Canis lupus familiaris: one gene and its partner. The protein of the gene in region 1 interacts with the protein of each later gene in a pairwise test. Links are inferred from orthologs where the notes say so. Each region holds a gene or a part of one and is shown in the gene's direction. Other genes may lie near its edges.

The links.
Region 2: the proteins of THAP1 (region 1) and FAM133A interact in binary tests that used the Homo sapiens proteins (3 or more experiments, as listed by UniProt). The two-hybrid records come from large-scale screens. The link is inferred for Canis lupus familiaris from reciprocal best matches to the Homo sapiens genes THAP1 and FAM133A.

What each region holds. Positions count from the first base shown.
Region 1 is NC_049237.1:23,681,865-23,685,513, forward strand, and holds part of THAP1 (THAP domain-containing protein 1), read left to right. Parts: intron 1-2,214; coding exon 2,215-2,589; 3' UTR 2,590-3,649. UniProt on the Homo sapiens protein: DNA-binding transcription regulator that regulates endothelial cell proliferation and G1/S cell-cycle progression.
Region 2 is NC_049260.1:69,481,750-69,486,144, forward strand, and holds the start of FAM133A (protein FAM133A), read left to right. Parts: upstream 1-1,590; 5' UTR 1,591-1,720; intron 1,721-2,500; 5' UTR 2,501-2,569; intron 2,570-4,395.

The sequences.
Region 1 (3,649 bases):
AGCACTGGGGGGAAGGTCAGAGGAGGAGAGAGTATCTCAAGCACACCCCCTGCTGAGCACAGAGCCCCCCATGTGGCCCCCCTTCATAGCCTTGAGATCATGACCTAAGCCAAAATCAAAAGTGGGACACTTATCTGACTAAGCCACCCAGGCACCCCAGCACTAGGTTGCATTATAATTTTGTTGATGGTTTCCTGCACAGTGCAAAAGCTTTTTGTTTTGGTATAGTACCAATTGTTTATTTTGCTTTTGTTTTCCTTGCCTGAGAAGACACATCTAGAAGAATGTCTCTAAGGCTGATGTCAGAGAAATTACTATGTTTTCTTTTAGGATATTTATGGTCTCAGGTCTCCCAGTTAAGTTTTTGTTGGTGTTTTTTTGTTTTGTTTTGTTTTGTTTTTTTAAGATTTCATTTATTCATGAGAGACATAGCGAGAGAGGCAGGCTCCATGCAAGGAGCCTGATGTAGGACTTGATCCCAGGATCACGCCCTGAGCCAAAGGCAGATGCTCAACTGCTGAGCTACCCTGGCGTCCCTCCCATTTAAGTTTTTAATCCATTTTGAGTTTAGTGTTGTATATGGTGTAAAAAAAAAAAGTCCAGTTTCTTTTTTTTTTTTTCATGTAACTGTACAGTTTCTCCAGCACCATTTATTGAAGAGTCTTTTACCTAATAGATATTCTTATTTCCTCTGTTGTAGATTAATTAATTAACCATATAAGCATGGGTTTATTTCTGGGCTTTCTGTTCTATTCCATGGACCTATGTGTCTTGTTTTTGTGCCACTTTTGATTACTACAGCTTTGTAGTATATCTCAAAATTGGGATTATGATACCTCCCGCTTTGTTGTTTCTCAAGTGTGCTTTGGCTGTTTGGAGTCTTTTGTGGGTTCTGTACAAAATTTTAACATTATTTGTTCTAGTTCTGTGAAAAATGTTGTTGGTATTTTCATAGGGATTGCATTGAGCCTATAGATTGCTTTGGGTAGTATGGACATTTTAACAATGTTAATTCTTCCAGTCCATAAAAATGATATATCTTTCCATTTATTTGTGTCATCTTCAATTTGTTTCATCAGTGTTCTGTAGTTTTTAGAGCATAGGTCTTTCACCTCAGTTAAATTTATTCCTAGGTGTTTCATTCTTTTTGGTGTAATTATAAATGGAATTATTTTCTTAATTTCTCTTCCTGCTACTTCATTATTAGTGTATAGAAACACAACTGATTTCCATATATTAATTTTGTATCCTGCAACTTTACTTATTACCTCTAATAGTTTTTTGTTGCAGTCTTTAGCATTTTCTTTGTATAGTATCATGTCATCTGCAAATAGTGATAGTTTTACTTCTTTCTTACCAATTTGGATGCCTTTTATTTCTTTTTCTTGTCTGACTGCTATGGCTCGGACTTACAGTACTATGTTGAATGAAAATAGCAAGAGTGGACATCTTGTCTTGCTTTTGATCTTAGAGGAAAAACTCTCAGTTTTCACTACTGAGTGTAATGTTAGCTGTGGGTTTTTCATATATGGCCTTTATTATTTTGAGGTATTTTCCCTCTAAGCCAGCTTTTTTGAGACTTTGTCATTGAAAGGATGTTGAATTTTGTCAAATGCTTTTTCTGCATTTATTGAGATGATCGTGTGATTTTTACCCTTTGTTAATGTAGTGTTTCATATTGATTTATGAATATTGAACCATCCTTGCATCCCTGGAATAAATCCCACCTGATAGTGGTGAATGATCCTTTTAGTGTATTGTTGAGTGTTTAATGTATTGTCAAATATGCCTGTATTTTTGTTGAGGATTTTTGCATCTTTGTTCATCAGGGATTTTGGCCTGTAGTTTTCTTCAGTGTCTTTGTTTTTGGTATTAGGGTATTGTTCACCTAACAGAATGTATTTGGAAGCTTTCCTTTCTCTTCTGTCTTTTAGAATATTTTGAGGAGAATAGGTATTAACTCTTTAAGTGTTTGATAGAATCACCATCTGGTCCTGGACTTTTTTGATTACCTTTTCAATTTCATTACTAGTGATTGGTTTATTTATACTTTCTATTTCTTCCTGTTTTGGAAGAGTGTGTGTTTCTAAAAATTTAACCTTTTCTTCTAGGTTGTCCAACTTATAAAAATGTCATTCTTAAATTCCACAGGGGTTCTTTTAAATTGTTATTTGTAGTTACTAAACTTGAACCTACTTTGCATTATTGTTGTAGAAGGAAGATCTTCTGGAGCCACAAGAACAGCTTCCCCCACCTCCTTTAACACCTCCCATTTCCCAGGTTGATGCTGCTATTGGATTACTAATGCCTCCTCTTCAGACCCCTGATAATCTCTCAGTTTTCTGTGACCACAACTATACTGTGGAGGATACAATGCACCAGAGAAAAAGGATTCATCAGCTAGAACAACAAGTTGAAAAACTCCGAAAGAAGCTCAAGACTGCACAGCAGAGATGCAGAAGACAAGAACGACAGCTTGAAAAATTAAAGGAGGTTGTTCACTTCCAGAAAGAGAAGGACGACATATCAGAAAGAGGTTATGTGATTTTGCCGAATGACTATTTTGAAATAGTTGAAGTGCCAGCATAAAAAAAAAAAGATATTTGTATTGGCTTTTAATGGGGCAACACCACACATCCTCTTCTAGCCTATAAAGGAGTTTCATTTGAAAAAATAACACTTGATTACTTGTATAAAAACAATTCAGAATATTTTTTTAAATAAATTAGATATATACTGTAAAATTGTAAAATTTTTGTTTCTAATTTCAGGGTTTTTACATTTTAACAAAATATCTTAAAAGTTAAAGACTAACCTCAGAACTCCAATATAAGTTGGTTTCAAATTGAGGAGTTTTGTTTTTTGGGTATTTATAGAAATGTAAAAATGAGAAATAAAGTGAATGTGAACAGTATAACAAGGACAATTTAAGTTTAAAATTTAAAATTAATGCAGGTTATTAAAGGAATTTAGTTACATTGTAAGTCAGAAGTATAGGTCAGATCACGAGATGTAACTTCTCAGAAAATATATATATTCTTATTCACATATTCTTATTTGTAAAGTCAGAAGATTTATCTTTCTTAATCACTTATCAAAAATAAGTTGACAAGTCAAAACTTCAAAAAATAAATTGGTTATCTTCAGAGCAGAAAATGAAGAGTCATTCTATACCTAGTCAATGTAGGTAAATAAGGATGAATCATTCTTTAAAAGTGGGTCTGCCTTTTTTCCCCACTAACATTATTAAACCAGAAGTGTATTTCCAGTGGAAGAGACATTCTTCAATAAAGTAGGCATTGTTATTAAACAAGTAATAAAAATGGGGGCCTGATCCATAGTATGCCTTTTTCTTTCATTACCCCCAAGCTTAAGGAGCATCTAGTTCCCAACTGTTGTTATATCTGTATACAAATCTCTAACAAATGTGTTGTGTCAGTAGAGTTTGATTTCTACTGTAATATGACCAATTGATTTTGGTCACATCTTCACATAAAAAAGGATTTCTTCACTTTTAACACAAGTTAGAAATTATATCCCATTTATTTAACCGAGTGATTTGTATTCCAAAGCAACCTAATATGTAGTGTTTGTTATTGAACGTTGAGATTTAAACACTGAAGTTTCTGTTCAAACTATGAGTTGTGTT
Region 2 (4,395 bases), on another chromosome or scaffold:
TTGTACGGCTCTGGGTGGTTGTCACGGTAACATCCTTTCCTCTTCTCCAATCGATTTTACAGCCTTTGCAATCTTGGATTTCCCATCCCCAAGAGAAGAAGGGATCGTTGTGATCTGGTTTTGACTTTATTATATATGTCTTGGTCAGCATCTCATTTCTGAAGTATGGATTAGGTAGAAAATAAAATTCAAACGTGTAGCTTATAGGCTGGCCAGGTTTTGAGAACTTTAGGCTAATATCTGACAAGAACTTCAAAATGGGGGCATCATACTTCTGAATCATGGGCCCAAGCTTGTCGACATTCTTTAAAACAGTCAGCCTTTAGGATCTTCTTTTTTAGGCTTTCCCTTACGAGCTCTTTTAAGATTTACTCTTTCTTTAGGCCTGACCTCAGAAATTCTTTTAGGAGCCTCTATTACAGCAGCCTTTGCCTTAGCCTCTGCTGCTTTAGGCTGTTTTTGATCTTCTGCATTTTGCTGGGGGACTACTTCAGGCTCTTCTTTCACTTCAGGCTTTATACCCAGAAAATCTTTAGATTCTGCGTTTTCTTCAGTCTTTGCCTCAGGAATTTCTTTTGGAACCTCGTTTTCTTCAGCCTTTACCTGAGGTTTTTCCTTAGGGTTATCATCTTCCTGCTCACTTTCTAAGGCAGGCATTTCAATAGGGCTGTCTTCCTGCACCTCCTCATCACTGCTGAACACCTCATCCTCTGAATTCCATTCATATTCTTCTTCTGTAGGTTCATATTCTGCATTGATTATTTGAAATCGCCGATCGTATAGAGGCTTATTGAGTTCGGCATATTTTCTTTCGAGATCGTGAATTGCCTTTAAGAACAGGATGTCAACCTTGTCACATTCATCTTGAATATTTCTGAGAGCCTGCACACGATTTCTAACTGCCTGAGGCAGCCGATCCACAAAACTTTTACCCAGCGGAGCCCCCCGTGCTCCTCTGGAAGGCCCAGATACCCTCTTCTTTCTATATAAGCGGCTGCGGCCACTGCCGCTGCTGCTGCTGCAACTAGTGCTGCTGCTAGAGCTATTGCTGTCCGATTCTTCCCCAGAATCACTAGACGAGCTAGCCATCTTCTCTTCAGTAACCCTTTGGGCGGCAGGTTCCGAGACCATGTTAAGATCCTCTTCTGCCATTTTGCAAACCTGCAAACCCCTTAATATGGTGACTACCACTGAGACCGCGCGCTCAGAGATGGGCAGAAAATGACTCACGTATGCTTGGGTAGCGGCAGAGGCTGGGGCTGAGGAGGTTGCAGCAGCGAAGGTAACAGCGCAGGGCGGGGCTGGGTTGGGCTGCGGTGATCGCGCAGACGTGGAAGCCACAATAGAGGCCTGGGCGAGAGTGGAGGTGGCAAGGCCTCTCACTGCAGCTGCGACGGACAGAGGCGTGCTGCACCTAATGGCACAGTGTAAGACTTCAAGATCTCTTCAGCGTTTAGATCGCCAGCCCCCACCCTTGCAGTCAGAACTGCCGTTAATTTAGTTCCCAGTGTGCCCTTAGATCGCGCCTCATTTGCTGGGCAAGTTTGATTGACAGGCTCTAAGCCTAATGAATGACCGAACGCACCCGCCGCCCTCCAGGCTCCACCCACCTTCCCAGACGCTCCTTGGTAGCTGAGGCACACACCGTTGGAAAACGTTTATTTCCCCTGAAAATTCTATCTTTATAGTTATATAAATCAAAAACAAGCTTAAATATGAGGTAAAAATATTAGTCATGGTTTCTAACAAGGGAAGAGGAGTATTTTTCTCCCATCATCTCATCCTGAATTCCCGTTTGGTTTGTCAGGAGCCTCTTGACAAAAATCTGTTTCTAAAAAATTGGATGAAAATACTCCAAATGGCATCATTGGGTAGATTATGGGTGATTTTAAAAAAAATCTCTTTATCTAAATATCCTTGAGCTTTATTTTTATACTAGCGAAAAAAGGGGAGTCGTTTATTGGCAAAGGGGGAAGGTGCTAGAAAGCAGGCAGAATGCATTCACGTGTCAGTTTTAATAAGTACTAGCTATCGTGTTTGGCAAGCCTGGTTTATATCCATCGACAGGGGTTGTGAACTCATGTTTCCGTGAGTCAGTTACACCATTTTTGCTATATTTCTCTTTTTAAACTGGCATATAATATATACCTAAATCTTGCTGCTGACTTGCCACTAGCTTTTCTCAATGCTTGCAACAAACTTGTAGGTGAAGTACAAGGCATTCAAAAGTTAGGTAGTATTATTTAAAAGCAGACGGCTTGCTCTGTACTTCTGTGCTGCAGTTTTCAATTCCATGAACAGCAGGCTGGGAGGGGGTATTTGTGCTGATGAAAGTGCACCCTCTGTCAGGTTATACTTTACAATGTCATCTGCCACCAATTTCCTTCTAACATTGTAATATTCCAGCCACACTAAAGTATGATTTGCAAGTCCAGGAATATGTCAATAAACTTTTGTAAAACGAAGTTTAAAAACAGGTATCTGTTATTTTTATTTACAGGATTCTTTTCTGCTACGGAACACCTCCCTTGGTACAACCCAAAAGACCAGTGTTTACTTTTCATTAAAGGTAAGAAACATATTTAGACCATTTTTATGAATGACAAGAATTACCTATCTTTATTTGAATAAAAATTCACAGGTTCTATTACAGTCTTTTAAAAATTTAGTTAGGAGATATCTTGATATTTCTGTGGAAGCAAAAAGACCCATAGAGATGATTTGATATATTAATGTATAAAATAGCCTGATTAATTACATTCAGTGTCTAAACCGACTCATAGAATACAAGCAATAAATTAAAATATAAAATACGATGAATTATCACTTCAAATGAAGAAAAATATTAAAGTTTGATTAACATTTGTGTTACTTCTTATAGAATTTGTGCTTTGTCATTTAGTCATATATTTTTAAAAAGTTAGAGAACACTTTTCTATTTTGTAAATAAATTTACTTTTATTGTTTATTTCTAATTTTCAAGATATATTAGCATTGTAAAGAAAAAATATAGAAAATTACAATGATGGTAAAAAACATAATCTTAACAACCAAATGATAACCATTGTTAGCATTTTGATACATTTCCATCAAGAAATTTCTTTGTGCATCTACACACTGGCTTGTTTATATAAACTGTTCTCTAAATAAAACATATGTTTTGTAATCTGCTCACTTATCAGTTGTAGCTATATTTTCATGGTAAATGATCAACATCTAATTTTAAAATAGATACATATTCCATGGAAATATTTGGCGTAACTTATTTAACCAGATTTCTGTTGTAGAGCAGCTCCTTTCCACACCATTTCTCCACTAGCATATACTTTTTTTCCATTATAAAAAAATTATCCCTGGATACCTACTATATGCATTTGTGAAAATTAGACCTAAGATGAATTCCTAGAAATGGGAGTGTTGGAAAAAAATGTGTGTTCATTTTATTCTTTGACACATATTGCCAAACTTCTCCCCAGAAAAGTTATCACAATTTACAGTCCTACCAACAATGCCTAAGAGTCATTTATTTAGTCATTCAACTGGTTATTTTTTTGTGCCAGGCACATGTGGTAGAGGATGATAATATAATGGTGAATAAAACTTAACTATGTGTGTATTCTTTCATTTCATAATTTTAATCAAAACGTATACTATGGAAACAAGAATTTAAATCAGTGAGGTTATGCCATAAATATTGTTCTGCAACTTTATTATTTTCATTTAAAATTATAGATAAACTTTTTTGTAATGAATGCTCTTATATTTTGATAGTACTATAGTGGTTTCATTTTGTACCATCAGTAAATAGTATTTTGAAGTAAGCAATGACTTACTGATTCAGATATTTTTTAAAATATATTTTTATTAGCTAGCTGCTTTTTGTACTGTTTATTTGATAGTCTCTCTGTCTCACACTTATTTGAAATACCACTTTATCATATTAATTAAACTGCTTGGTTCTGTTCTGAATTCTTTTTTTTTTAAGATTCTATTCATTTATTCATGAGAGACACCCACAGAGAGAGGGAGAGAGGAGAGAGAGAGAGAGAGAGAGAGAGAGAGAGAGAGAGGCAGAGATACAGGCAGAGGGAGAAGCAGGCTCCATGCAGAGAGCCTGATGTGAGACTAGATTCCGGGTCTCCAGGATCACGCCCTGGGCTGAAGGCAGCGCTAAACCGCTAAGCCACCTGGGCTGCCCTCTGTTCTGAATTCTGTTCTCTGATCAGTTGGTCTTAATTTTTCTGCAAACAACAAATGGGGTAATGGCAGTTTTTAAATAACGTTTTATTTTGTGAAAATGATATGCATTGAAAAAAGGTTAGATAATACATTGAAATCCAAACAAGAAAATAACTAAAAACTCAGTGAGAGGTAATGTCACAATATTCACATCTT